Linked DNA regions of Struthio camelus. The protein of the gene in region 1 purifies or fractionates together with the protein of each later gene. This does not show direct contact. Links are inferred from orthologs where the notes say so. Each region holds a gene or a part of one and is shown in the gene's direction. Other genes may lie near its edges.

The links. Proteins that work in one complex are often made in the same cells at the same time.
Region 2: the proteins of CDK14 (region 1) and CCNY purify together in Homo sapiens (affinity purification with western blotting; 3 studies listed by BioGRID and IntAct, with this or other methods). This does not show direct contact. The link is inferred for Struthio camelus from reciprocal best matches to the Homo sapiens genes CDK14 and CCNY.

What each region holds. Positions count from the first base shown.
Region 1 is NC_090943.1:26,303,548-26,310,955, forward strand, and holds the start of CDK14 (cyclin-dependent kinase 14), read left to right. Parts: upstream 1-4,408; 5' UTR 4,409-4,468; coding exon 4,469-4,550; intron 4,551-5,595; exon of another isoform or gene 5,596-5,718; intron 5,719-7,408. UniProt on the Homo sapiens protein: Serine/threonine-protein kinase involved in the control of the eukaryotic cell cycle, whose activity is controlled by an associated cyclin.
Region 2 is NC_090943.1:15,715,720-15,723,250, reverse strand, and holds the start of CCNY (cyclin-Y), read left to right. Parts: upstream 1-4,514; 5' UTR 4,515-5,988; coding exon 5,989-6,142; intron 6,143-7,097; exon of another isoform or gene 7,098-7,269; intron 7,270-7,531. UniProt on the Homo sapiens protein: Positive regulatory subunit of the cyclin-dependent kinases CDK14/PFTK1 and CDK16.

The sequences.
Region 1 (7,408 bases):
GGTGAGTAGCTTGGCCCAAGAGAGAACATCCTCAGCCAGGGAGATTTATGAAGATCTGCTTTACATTGGCAGAGGAAGGCCTGACAAGGGGAAGTTTTACTTGACAATCCTGTTCACTATTTCATTCTCTGAGGGACCTGTCCGGTTTACTTTGGGTAAGCCACTTGATCTGAGGGCTTGCTTTCCCAGCACAATACTCTGTGCACATAACACTCCAAACCAATGGCATTAACAACTTCTTTAACAGACAGGCTGTGTTTGTTTACTTGCTCTTAAGGTTTTTAAATTCAAACACTTGGCCCAACAGGAGTTCAACTAGAGCAGGAATGCAAGTTAAGTATATGGCCTTTCAAGAATCCCTAAGGAGAAATGTTGGGTGTGTGCTGGGGGCGGGGGTGAGTAGAGAGAGCTGTGGGAGAGCTCAGACCATGTAAAAATACTTCTTCAAATCAACAGCAATTACCCTGAGATGTGGGAAGTGCACATCTTTATATTACACTGTGAGCCACCATCTGCACCACACATCACAGATTTGTTTTTTGTCATCTCATCTTACCCTGCAAGTAGTGAATAGGGCAACTGCGTCTGTTTTATCTGCAGAGAGATTTCTGTCATCCTGAGCGCGCCAGGCCTGCTAGGGCACTGCTTATAGTTTTAAATAATATGTTAGTTTACACAGTAATAAACAAACTGCCAACCCTGCTGCCTCCTTTCCTCCAGAAATAACAAATCTAACCCTCACCTCACTGCAAAACACAAATGATTAGGCTGACTGGCTTGCATGATGCATTGAGGCAAATGTTTCCTGTTGTCCAGCTTTGCAATTGATATCTTGGCAAATATTTCTACTGCACTTGATAATCCCTACACTTGCAAACTGATTCAGTTAACTCAATGGCAGCAGTGGAGGTCAAGATGTGTAGTAAATTCTTACCAAAAGTCAAGTAAGGAGATGCTCAGGGTGTAGAGTAACTGCCAGCAGGTTTTTATTTAGGATGTTTCTTTGGGGAGCTGATGTGAGAAAGGACACTTTAAATAAACTGCCTAGCTTTTTGTAATATAGAAGTCGCTTTACATGTAAACAAGTTCAAACTCTGGAGATTATTGTGAAAGACGGTAGCAAACAGCAATATTCTTTAGCATTTTGGTCATGTTAACTTTTTCACACCACAAATTGCAAGACGTAAACATAAAAAGTCGAGCTAAAAGCCTGCCCCTACAAAGAAGCAAAATGTCATCATTAGAATAGCTGTATCTCTGTGGTTTGCTAATTGCACATTTCTGCCTTATTGTTTTCCTGTGCTGGGTGACTGAAATACAGAAGAAAAGGAAGAACCACAAATGTATGGTCTTAATCAAAGTTACAAAAGTGATTTCACTTTCCTGAATTCAATAAATTTGCAACACTAGTGCCGCTGGCCACAGAAAAGGTTTAGATAGAGAAAGAACAAAGGCGGCCTTTAACATAATTTTTTCCTTCAAGTAAAAACCATTGAGGAAAGAAGAATAAAAAATGCAGCGTGCAGTTCGAAGACTTCTGCACTGCTTCAAGGGCATCCTTCCTCGGGTGGCGAATGTCTGTGGAACATCTCTGTGGACTGAGATTGTAAAATTTTCAGAAGACAAGATCTGGGTTTCTTTCACTGGCACCACACTGATGTCTAATTTAGGCAAAATGTTCATTAATTTAAAATACCCTGACATAAACTTGTAGATTGGTCCTATGCAATTGCAAAGTCAGACACTTCTCAGAAATTCTAACTCGTCTGTATTATCAAAAAAAGCAGAACACACAGCAGTAGTGTGGCAAATAGGCTTGTCATGCACTTTTGATAAAGTCGAAGTTTACCTAGAAATAGGGGGGAAAATAGGAATGTTGTTCCAAATTCAGGAGCATTGATTTATGTAGGTAAGACAGCATCTGTCACTTAAGCATAGTTAATAACAGGTTTTCTCAGAAGCGCTCAGAAACTCTATCACTAATTGCCAAAATAAAGCCATAGCCTGAATTACAGTACTGTTCAGAGAAGTCTCAGGCAGGCAGGAAGGCCTCCTGGTGTGAATGGCATGTGCAAAAAGTGAACAAGGCTGAAATTGTAAGCTTAGTTTCATCTTTCAGATTAGAACGTATTATTCATGACAATAGCATTTTCCTCTCCACTCAAAGCAGGAATATTCACCAGTATTAATATCAGATTTGAACAAAGATTGAACTATTAACTATTATTAAGGACTCGAATGTCATTTTTTTTGCACTGAGTGATAATATATCCTCAAGTGCTTGTGTCCTTCCCCCTCCTTTTCTCCTTCTAGCCTCCTTGTCTGTTTCTTCGAAACTTTTATTTCTACTCTCCCCCATCTTCTCTCTGCAGCATTTCAGTTTCTACCCTTTCTCTACTTCCTTGCATAATATGACATTGTCAACATTAAACTGCCATTTCAGCTTCTGTTTTTAAGACATTAGCAGGGTCAACAAAGTTCGCACCTCTGAAAACCATTTTCTCATACTGTCTGTAGATTCAGGGTTTATGCATAAGACATTTTACTGCATTATTGTACTGCTGTATAGCGGGATAATTGCCCATGATCTTGTGTGTCATAGGAGACACATATATAAACACATAGTAGGTTTCCATCTGAGGAGGCTACGTATTTGCTGTTCCTGCTGCATATACACATTGTAATAGATAGGTCCTATCCCAAAGAGCTTAGTGTTGCAGATGGCTTGAACTCAACTCATCTAAATGCTTGTCTAGACAAATGTGCTTTTAAAATTGAGTTAACAACTCCTAGCATGGACACAGTCTAATCCCAGTAAATTGTGTTAGCTAGCCTCATTAAAAACCAAGCTCATTTTAACCAGATAATATGCATTAAAATACAATTTGCACTAGGTACACCGGGGTTCTAAAATGTGTAACCTAACATGAATTGTTTTCAAAAAGTACCTACTTTGTAGTTTAGACTAGACATATCCATCCATCTTGATGGGTTAAACTGATTTATTTTTCAATAACGTTGGTTCAATTGAGTTAACAAGATCAAAAGCTCTCAACACTCAGTAAGTTGCAGGCTAACACGTTTGAAGCCATATTACCTGGCTGTCCTTTAAGATGTAAGTGGACGCTAAGCCCAGGTTTCGACTTGAAGAGCTGGGTGCGTACTTAAGGCAAGGTGCCCTTTTTCTACCAGCCGTACCACAGCTACTCAACTATCATCCCACTCAACGCTAACCCAGAAATTAGGCCAAGAAGTCACCTTCCTGCATCGTCAAACCTACGCAGCTTGCCTTGGCCTCTGAACGTGCGGCGCCGGGCCTGGGGAGGGCAGCGGGCGCGCGGGCAGGCCTCGCTCGCTGCCCAGGCGCCGGAGGCAGCACGGGGCGGCCGTCGCGGCTGCCGGTGCTGGGCACAACGAGGCACACAACGAGGCCGCAGCGCCGCAGGCCGCGGGGTTGACAGTTCTTGCTGAACACTGCATATCTGTTCCCTAATCAACCGCTATCAAAAGCACCTTTGAGGCTACAAAGCCGCAAGCACCCTATTATAGTAATCCCCAGCGGAGGGCTGCCCCACACTGCTTTGCTTGGTGCGTGGTGGATGGCGAGGCCACGTTAATCCGGGGTTGCCCGTGCTGCGGCCGCGCTCGCGGTGTGCCAGCAGCAGGGCCCGGGCCGCCGCCCTGAAGGGACACAGGCCCCGCCGCCTCCGCCGCCCCGCTCGCTGCCCCCTCGGCCCGGCGCGGCCCCGCCGCCTCGCCCCGGCAGCCGCCGGCCCGGCCCGGCGGGGACAGCCCGGCGGAGGCGCCGCGGCGCGGTCGCGGCTGCCGGGCCCCGCCGCCGGCTCGGCGGGCGGAGAGGGCCGCCTCCTCCCGGCCGCGGCGCGGGGCTCCCCTGCCCGCCCAGGCTCCGCCTCCTCCTTTCTCTCAGCGCTTCTCCGCACCCCTCCCTCCCCGCCTCCCTCCCCGCCTCCCTCCCCGCCTCCCTCCGTGCCCGCACCCCCGCGCCGGACTTTCCTTTCACTCCTCCATCTCCCCTCCGCACTTTTCTCCCCCCCCCCCCGCCTCCCCGCCTCTCCTCCCTCCGTGCCCCTTCCCCGCTTCATTCCCCCGGCGCGTCTCGCTGTGGCCGGGGGAGCCCGGGGAAGGGGGGACGGGACGGGGCTATGAGCCGCGCGGCGGCTGCGGGGAGCCGAGCAGCTGCCGCGGGCACCACGTAGGGCGCCTTCGCGGGCGGGGCCGTCCCGTTGCCCGTCCCGCTGCCCTCGGCGGCCGCCCGGGCGCGGGGCGGGAGCCCCTGGAGCCGGGGAGGTCTCCCGCCTGCCCGCGGGGGCGGCGGCGCTCGGCGCGCGGCGGCAGGGGTGTCCGTTGGCCGGCGAGGCGCGGGGGGGGGCGGGAGCGGCGTGTGCCGTCGGGCCGCGGGCGCCCCGGGGCGGGGGCGGCGAGCCGGAGGGGCGCCCGCGTGTGTGACATGATCGACTCGCAGGCGGCCGAGAAGATCAGCAGGATGAAAAAGTTGCGGAGAACTTTATCGGAGAGCTTCAGCCGAATCGGTGAGTCCCGGCGGCGCCGGCCGTTGGCCCGCGCCGGCCGCTGGCGCTGCCCGTTGGCCTGAGGGGCCGCCGGGGGCGGCGGCGCGGCGAGGGGGCCGGGCGGGTCGCGGGCTGCGTGGCGGGCTGTCCCGCCTCGCTGCCCGTCCTCCCCGCTGCCCCGGCATCTCTCCCCGCCGTTTGGTTACCTGCGCAGGTATCTTGACTCCGCCGAGCAGTCTGGACCGAAAGACGGGGCTGTATGAGAAAAGGCTCTCTCTGCTTCTCGCCTGCCCATTATTTGTGTAGTGGCATGGTGGTATCCTATGCGTTGCAGAGGTGGAAACAACCGTGCTGTGCCAGGCTTTTCAAACGCTTCTTGTGAATGATGTTTGGAAAATAGCAAATATTTCCCGGCAATGTGTGCAACCCAGAGAGTACAGCATGCATCTGTAGTTGAACTGGCTTAAAATAGGCTAGAAAAAAACAAAGTAAAAATGAGAATTGTCCAGCCTGTCTCCATTGCCAAAGTGAAACCTTGACAAAAATATGGAAAAGCAAATTATTATTTTTGTTTTGATCTAGGTCTAGTTTTTTTTTGGTCAGGCTGCACATTCTTTTAAGTTGAGGCATGAGATGCTGAAGCAGATAACAGCGGATCAGTGATTTAGGAGGCTAGACAAAAGAAGCCTGTCTGTCATCTCCTGCTAAGTCCTGTCATTCTTTCAGTGACATAAAGCATGCTGAGAGAGTGTTATCCGAACAGGGTCCTGCTGAGCACGTCATCCCCTCATGCCACTGCATTGCGTTCGAGTTTGACACCAGTTTATTTTGCCTTAGGATTTGTTACTGAGAACAATGCCAAAGAGTCCTGGTACGCTTCAACTGATGTTTCCCTCGGTCTTTGGCACAGTGTCTTGCTTAGCTCTGTGTTCAGCGTGCTTGATCCCACTGATGGTGCAGCCATGCTGCTGAGCAGGGAGCCCCTCCACAGCACCTAGCCGGAAAAGGGCCCATCCCCAGCCCTGTCAGCTCCCTCCCTCTTGTCCCGCCAGAGCTTTTCCCTTGCAGTCATCTTGGGGATGGCGTTCTAGCCTCAGAGCTGCTTTGTGCTGGCGAGGGGAAGTGAAGTGCCTGTGCTGCAGTAATGAGCTGTGGCATGTGGTATTTTCTTGACGGTCTCATCAGGAAGGTGTGTTGAAGTACATGGGCGTTATAATTTTTCATGTGTTTGCTTATGCGATCAATGTATTACTTTAGCTTTTAATAACTTGTTCATATTTATAAAATAGAAGAAGAAATTATTTCAAGGGTATATGCCAAGTTTCAGTTCAGAAGTGAATATTAAGTCACAATTATATGTCCCTCCGTCCCCATGTGAAGATAGCTTTCAGCTGTAATCAATCTTAAGCTTGTAAAATGCATTTAATTATTTTTGATTAAAAAAAAAGAAAAAAGGGCAGCCAGGTATTTGGTCTGCTCTGTCACATGTTTGTGTGTGCATATAGGCACATAGAGACGCTCTTTGTCAATAGAACTATGGGAGGGTTTTACTAATGGTGCCAGTCATTAGCAAAGAAAATCTCTTGAATGAAGATGCTGCTTTATCATACCGGTGACAGTCCCATTAATGTCTTTTCAGTACCAAGGACTCTCTGCATGATAGTTTCTGCATGGTTTAATTGGCACTGTTGGGTGATCGTCTTTCTTCTTCATTTTCACAAGCTAAGAAACCTTTCAGTTTCCTTGGGAATTTTGGCCTGATTTTAGGGATACATATTGTTATGTTTTCCAGTTACGCTAGTTCGTTGTGTGCACAGCAGTGTAGGATGCGGTTGGTTGGCTGGTTTGTTTGTTTGTTGTGGTTCTTTTGTTATTAAAACTCAGCTGGTACTAGCAAGACTGTTCTGTCTTCAGATGGTCTAATATTTTGGCCATTATGCTGGTAATTGCACTTTGAGCCAAAAAATCTAATTTATCAGTATGGAGCTTGAACAGAGCCACTCCCTTATACCCAGAGCCACACATAAGCCCAACCAAAACAAACCTCTGTTTGAAAAACTCTAACTTGCATACCAGGAAATCCTCAGTTAAAACATGTGCTGTACTTAACTTGCATTTTTTAATGAAGGAGAAAAAACTAAAACCTCATTAGAAAAAAGTTTTAACTGTCTGGCTATTTGTCACTCTGGTTTTACACCTCTTTTAGGTAATGAGGCGTTCCTTGGTGAGATTAGCAAGTTATTACTTTAATATGTAGCTAATCTTGAACTTTCTGTCAATCATCTCTTCGGCTGTGGTTTGTCTATTATAAACAACTTTGTTGATCTTTTAACTTACCTGTTCTGCTGAAGTTTATGTTTTCATAGATTTAAGTACACAGCAGCATTATTGATATAATTGTAAAAACAATATGAGCAACAAAGATGATGTTTGAACCAAGTAAGTAATGAGTCAAACCTTCACATGCTACAGTAGGGAATGTCTAATAATCTTTCTAAGAATGGTAAGCCTTTTCTAGTCGTTCCCCTCACTCTCCTCCGATATTTTTGGTATCTGAGTTGCCAAATACAATTTTTTCCAATGCTATAAGGCCCCCTGATTTGGGTACCAGAGTTTATGTTATCCTGTTTGTTAAGAGCAGTGTAAATGAACCTTAATTATCTTTGGCTGTGTTCTTGTGCTAGGACATGTAACTTAATACTCAATGGACTACCTTCAGGAAAACTTTTTTCCTCACATAGTAGTCTTTTGTATTTTAGACACTGTATCAGCAATGACTTTAAGAAGTGATCATTTTTTTCCCCAGTGTGCAGCAGTATGCTAATTAATGGTTGAAGCTATTTCCCAAAAGAAGAAAAAACCCAAATGCATTATGTATT
Region 2 (7,531 bases), about 11 Mb from region 1:
TGCTGAGTGCTACAGCAAATGCCTCTGATGATGGGATAATGGCTGGAGTAGGCATAGAGTGCACTTCAGACAACTTGTGACAGGGCTGAAAGGACATTTTTTGGGCAAACGTTGGATTTCTCCTTTAAACAAAGAGAAGACAGTCTCAGTCCTAGAAGAAACCATAAACCGTAAAGGGGAAGCCTGCCACTGGAGTAGTCTATACAAATCCATAGGTGCGGGCATCCTAAGTGTAGTCCAAGATGTGATATGTGAATGCCTTCTGTTGAATAACACAATAGAGGACTTTGTCATGATCAAGTATGATGCATTCCCCCAGCCTTTGGGATATGATGCTATTTTCAGTTGCTCTGTTTGCTCATGGTTTAAGTTCTTTGCCAGGTCAGCTGCAAAGGAGCCTGCAAAATGAATTTTAGGTTTGCCTCCTCTCTATAGCAGATTAAAAATTCCAGATGAGGCACAGATTTCAAACTACCTAAGAATGCAGTCGAAGTGAGGTAAAATTTAGATATACGGACACTGTGAAATAATTCACATGTTACCGGGAATCTGTGCACAGTATGAATGAAGAAGGGAAGCTGTTAGTTAGTCATGACACTGAAAACAAAATGCCCATACGGGAGTGGGTTACCCAGCCTCAGGACACCCACGCCCCGCAGAACATCCTAAAGAGCAATGGTAGCCACAGAACTTCCACTTGACATCTTAAAATACCTCAAGACCAAGGAAGAGAAATTGCAAGTTCAATAGTAAGGATTTCAAAGGAATCTGAAATTTGGAAGTGGTATCTGAAGAAGAGCAAACATAATCCCTATACTTGAAAAAGAAAAGAGCCAATACAGATCTATTTGTTTGATTCAGTACTACACAAGATCTTGGAAGAGATTTTGAAAAACTGAAAAATAAAGGACATGCAATTGGATGGTAAGTAAATAACACATAACAATGGATTATATTGACTATAGAGTTTAAGAGTGGTTAATAGTGACATTTCTCCGATAATTTGTCTTTGACCTTTCAAGCTAAATATCTATTGCACAGCTTAGCTTAACTGTGATGGCTGATGGCTGCCCTCCATGGCCAAGATGGTAAAGGGCATATTTCTAAACTCTTTATTCGAAGAGGATAAAACCTTTCCTTCTGTATCAGTCAAAGGAGTAGTAACAATGGATAAATATGATACTAGTTAGTACTTTCTATATCCCTCTTTATTTATTTTTTCCATAGTATTTGTTTCCAACATGTTATCCTACGCAGCAGGACTCATAAACACACATATCTTCAGGTTGTTTTGACATACATTTGCCTTTCAGCAATACAAAAATGATTTTCTCTCACTTTCTTCTCATTTTCTTTGGCATAACATACTTTACTTTTTAAATGCCTCATTTTTTACACATGAGATCTACATTAATGTATGACAGCCGGAACAAAATATATTCGTTAAGGGACTGCAGAAATCATGTTCTAAAGTGGACCACATCAAAATTCTTTCTGTTATTGTGAAGGCCAATATTTTTACCTGTGTACATAGGAATTTTCATTTTAAGCTTTTGCAAATAAGAGTTTGTAAATCTCCTATAATAATTAGCTCTATGATAAATCTGACAGTATGGTTTGCCCAGATTTTAAGAAGTAACTTATGCTCAAATCACTAGTAGGGCTCCTATTAACCATTAGGTGGCAGTGTGGGGAAGGTGTATAGTGGAAATTTCTCAGGGTACCTATCTAGAAGACTGGATCAGAATCAAAGGATCTGGTTGTCACCATCATTTATTTTGAAGTATTTTTTTTTTTTTCATCTGTGTTCCCCTTGTTATTTGATTTGCAAATAGAAGGTAGTTTCAGATTAAATAATATTTACAATGCTTGTATTGGGGTACAATTTTGGTACCCCAAATAGGTAAGAATCTTGTTATTTAAGCAAAACAGTAACCTACATCTGGTGGTTTGAATCACTTACATTTTTTTCACAATGTTCAGGAAGATTTCAAGTGCAAAATTCTATGTGTCGCGTCATTAATATTTAACCTACTAAAGTTCATTATTTTCTCTATAGTGGAGACACTATTGGATTTAAGAAATACCACTGGGCAGGGATAGGCACTTTGTAAAGCCAGGTAGCTTAGCACTGACCAATCTTCAAAGGCTTAGCCTTAGCTAAAGGTGCTTCATGGTGTTCCTTAGCTGGTACATTAAGTTGCTCAGATGTAGGATAAACTCAGGAAAATACATAATCTTAAACTTCAAGGATAGAATGGTCTGTAATCAACAAAAGACACAAAAGATCTTTTGAAATGCATGACACTTAAGCAAGTCAAAAAGGTAGTGAACTGTTCTTGCTTTACTGTACTAACATTTAGCAAATAATACAATTACATTTACATTATACACTTAATATAGCTGAAATAAAGTAATCATAACTGAAAGCAAACATGCTTTCTTGACCCTTATTTCATGTTTGTACTTAGATACCAGCTCAGGAGACCATTACCCTGGAGCAGTGTTCCTTTTCTTCAACCTTATCTTTAAATATGTGTTGTAGCATCTTTGTCATTACAGTGCAGTTCAGCAAGCTTTTAGGGTGAAAGGAGGTGGAATAAAGATCTACTAAAAATTCAGGAAAAAAGGTTGCAAGCGGGAAAATAGGTAGCTACATGGTGATTACGTGGTCACAACTGGTGGTCACAAATTGTAAATGCTTTATATTTAAATACATTTTAAATGTTTACAGAATCATTTAGGTTGGATGGGACCTCTGGAGATCATCTAATCCAACCTCCCTGCTCAAGCAGGGTCCTCTAGAGCAGATTGCCCAGGATCACATCCAGGCGGGTTTTGAATATCTCCAGCGAAGGAGACTCCACTACCTCTCTGGGCAACCTGTTCCAATGCTCTGTCACCCTCACAGTGAAGAAGTTTTTTCTCAGCTTCAGATGGAACTTCCTGTGGTTCAGTTTCTGCCCGTTGCCTCTTGTCCTGTCGCTGGGCACCACGGAGAAGAGGCTGGCCTCATCCTCTTGACACTCCCCCTTCAGATACTTGTATACGTTGATCAGATCTCCCCTCAGTCTTCTCTTCTCCAGGCTCAACAGGCCCAGCTCTTGCAGTCTTTCTTCATAGGAGAGGTGCTCCAGCCCTCTAATCATCTTGGTAGCCCTCCGCTGGACTCTCTCCAGGAGTGCCATGTACTGGGGAGCCCAGAACTGGACACAGGACTCCAGGGGAGGCCTCCCCAGGGCTGAGTAGAGGGGCAGGATCACCTCCCTCCACCTGCTGGCAACACTCTGCCTAATGCACCCCAGGAGACCATTGGCCTTCTTGGCCACAAGGGCACACTGCTGCCTCATGCTTCACTTGTTGTCCACCAGCACTCCCAGGTCCTTCTCTGCAGAGCTACTTTCCAGCAGGTCAACCCCCAGCCTGTACTGCTGCATGGGATTATTCCTGCCTAGGTGCAGGACCTTGCACTTGCCTTTGTTGAACTTCATGAGGTTCCTCTCGGCCCACCTCTCCAGCCTCTCCAGGTCCCTCTGAATGGCAGCACAGTCTTCTGGTGTGTCAGCCACTCCCCCCAGTTTAGTATCATCAGCAAACTTGCTGAGGGTGCACTCTGTCCCTTCCTCCAGGTCATGGATGAATACACTGAACAAGACTGGGCCCAGGACTGACCCCTGGGGGACACCACTAGCCACAGGCCTCCAACTTGACTCTGCGCCATTCACCACAACCCTCTGAGCTCGGCCATCCAGCCAGTTCTCAAGCCACCTCACCGGCCACTCATCTAGCCCACACTTCCTGAGCTTACCTAGGAGGATGTGATGGGAGACAGTGTCAAAACTTTTAGACAAAACTTTACTTTTAGAATATTTGCTTTAAATACACAAAGTCTGAACTGTTCCCTGTTAATGAAGGAATATGTCTTATTTAGTTCTGCTATCTAAATATGCAATTAACATTTCCATTATTATGTTATTGCCTGTTTTGTCTCAAAGCTTATTAGAATTGTGAAATATGTACAAAACACAAGATTTGACTAAAGATTTGTTTGAAATTTTCTGATCTCTGCTATGCCTGTCTGAGATTTAATCAACACTGCTGAGACAAGCACAGTTTTAACCAAGGCCTGGTCTGAACAGAAGAGCTGGCTGATGGCTCTCAGGTGACAGCTAGAGACAGGAGAGCAGAGTGTGCTTGAAGGGAGGCACCTGAGATACCCTCAGGAAGCAATGACCTAAATAGTGATGGAAAGCACTAGTTAACATTATATCCTACAAGGTAACATTTCTAAACAAGTGCCAGCAAATGTTTAATTTCATTTGGTTTGGATGCAAACCACTGAGGATACTAGCACACAAAAAACAGTAAATCTAATGTTATTCATCTTGTGTTGCTGAAGTGCAAAGGGACAACGCAACTCAGAGACAATTGTACATACATGCTTGTGGCAGTTATCACAAAATGAGTTACGCAAGCACATCCTCAAAATATTTTTTTTTAATTGGATTTTTTTTGTATCCCGCTTGGGTACATTTGCATCAAATTAACAACCTTTTTCTTTGCAATGTGTGGTCGGAAAACAGTTTAGCATGAAAACTTAGAAGTCTTTCATGTAATCATCTGACTTGAGCAGACCTTCTGAAAACACCAGATATCACGAGATGCCTTGCAGACCAACGAAGCTGCTGTTATCAGTGGTTCCCAGGACGTGGGGCCATAAGTGAACATACAAATGTGTTTTTCAGTTATCAGATCAGTGGAATCATTGGACTGCTGTGACTCAGACCTCCAGCAGTCATAAGGTTTGCTGAAATTATGGAGATTTAAAAAAAAAAACAAAGACCATCTCCATCTTTAGTACCACATTGATACAGAACAAAGGATTTTGATAGGGAAAGCTCTGAATATAGAGAAAGTGGAAGGCAGGGGGTCTAGCTAGGTTGGGTGCGCACCCTTCCTCCTCTTCAGCCCGTTTTCTTTGACCCTGTCAGTCTGAAAGGATTTCTTAAAAGACGTTCCTAAAGAACTGTTATGTTCTTACAAAGCGATGAGTCGCCAGTGAAAATTTCCTCCTGGTGGTCGCGTACAGGCTTTTTATTCAGCCCTGGGGTACGTGGTGCATCAGGCCGCTCCCAGCTGCTGTGGTTTTGGGCCTTGGCTCAGCGGCAGGAGCGAAAGGAGGGCGGCTGCTGCCCGAGCTGTGCAGGCAGGCGACGCGCCACGGAAACGCCAGCGTTTCACCCCAAGTGGGCGAGTTTGCCCCACCAGGCCCCAAGAGCAGCGACGAAGCGACGGCACCGCCGGCCCTGGGGGCGAGGGAGCAGCCCCGCTATTCCCTTTAGGAAAGAAAAGGCTGTGTGTTTCTGTGACGTTCAAAAACAAAGAAAAAAAAAATCTGTAAAGCTTAAAAACGCTCCGAGGAAGCGGGCTGGGTCTCGCGGCCGGGCGGGCGGCCCCTGAGGGGCGGCGGGCTGCGGGCTGAGCCCCCCTCGGCCGAGCCGGGCACCGCCGCCGCTCCGGCAGGAGGCGTTGCCGCCCGTTTGAACCGGAACCGGTTAGCGGAGGCCGCCCGGGGCGGCTGCTGCGGCTGCCGCGCAGGCTGCGGCGCTGCCGCGTGTGTGTGTGTGTGTGTGTGTCTGCGTGCGTGGGGAGCGGGCCCAGCCGGCTGCGCGGGGGCGGAGGAGGAGCGCGGCAGCCCCGCCGCCGGCGATGGCGCTGTGCTTAGCGTGGCCCTGCGCTGCCTGCCCGCCGAGGAGGGCGTAGCTGCCGCAGCCGTCGCCTGGCGGGCCGCGCTGCGGGGCCGGGCTCCTCGCATGAGCCTGAGCCTGAGCCAGCGCGGGGCTCGGCCGGCGAGCGCAGCCGCAGGGCGCCGCAGCCTCCACGCCCGCCGCGCCTCCTCGTCCCCGCCGCCGCCCATGGCCTCCCGCCGCCGCCGCTGACCGGCCGCCCCTCGCCTCCTGCCGAGCCGGCCGGCGCCGGGCAGCGAAGATGGGCAACACCACCTCCTGCTGCGTGTCCTCCAGCCCCAAGCTGCGCCGCAATGCCCACTCCCGCCTGGAGTCCTACCGCCCCGAGGCCGAGCTGAGCCGGGAGGACACGGGCTGCAACCTGCAGCACATCAGCGACCGGGAGAACATCGACGGTGAGGGCGGGCGGGAGCCGCGCTGGGGAGCCCCCGGCCGCCGCGAGGGGGGGCTCTGCCCGCCGGGCCGCGCCGAGCCGAGCGGGGCAGGGCAGGGCTGGGGCGGGCGGGCGCTCCCTGACCCCTCCCGGTGGTGCCGCCACGCGGAGCTCCGCGCTGGCGCCTCCCGCGGCCCCGCGGCCGGGGGCGGCCTGAGGCGGCGCTGCCCGCCCCGCCCCGAGGCCCCGCCGGCCCCGGCCTGCGGTTGGCGCCTGGGTCGCGGCCCCGGCGGGAGGCGTTGGCGGCGGGCAGCGCCCCCGGGTACTGCGCGACGCCCCTGTCGCCCGGCCGGCCTCGGCGGGGCGCAGGGGTTTAAAGGACAAACCCAGTCAGCAGTAAAAGTGGGGGAGACGTGTCCCGTGACGACCGGGAGCTTTTCTTCCCCGCCGCCGTCATGATGAGGCAGCGCTGTAGTAGCCGTGAATACTTTCTGGCTGGGTCTCCGTCTCCGCAGGGATCCCCGGCGGAAAACAAACAAACAAACAAACAAACAACCCCCCCAAACCTCATATTCCAGCCGGTTTGGTAATGACCAGTTGTCCTGTTGTTTTGGCTAGTCGGAACGCAGCGTAGTTTTGAATATGTGGTTGAAGGTGTGCATACAACTTAGTTTTTCATCAGTCGAAGCGTTTGGTCCTTAAAACGTTGCTTGGTAGGAGGTCCGCTGTCCCGTGGATTGGCTTACGTGAGCTGTCTCCGGTGGAAAGCCGGACAGAGCGGCCGGGGCCCGCGCCGGTTCGCCTCGCGCGTTTTCTTCGTAGCTTGCGGCACCGTGATCCTTTTACAGAGTTGTGCGTTAAGTCAGTCCTTCACGCTGGCAAAATTGTATCATCCATCGCGGCAGAGGGAGCCATCGCGGGTTAAGATTGTTTCGTTTGATTAAATACGTTCTGGAAATAACAGCGTTGTCTTTCAGGTGTCTTTGCTACCTGCAGCTGAAAGATTGGAGGATCAGTAGGTGGAAAAAAATACATAGTGGTCTGGTCAGAGAAAATCGGAGAGGTGAAAGAACCAGTTGATGATCCGTGAACGATTAATTCTTAAACACTGGTGTTTTCCAGCATCGTAGCATGCATCTTTGTCTAACGGTACGAGTTTTTACGTCTGTAGGAACAGATTTTAGTTTTGGTCAGAGAGGCATGGGTTTTGTGTCTTATTCTTGGTGTGCCTTTTTCTTCTAGGTAGGGGGAAGGATACGGGTGGAAATAGCAAGTGCATCTGTGCTTCCTGAAGTGTGCATATGGTGCAGATAATTTTTAAAATCTTAATAATTGTCAAAAAAAAATACTTACTGGTTGGTTGTTTCATTTGTCGGCTCAGGGCACCTGTGCGTCCTGTCTCACTTCTCCT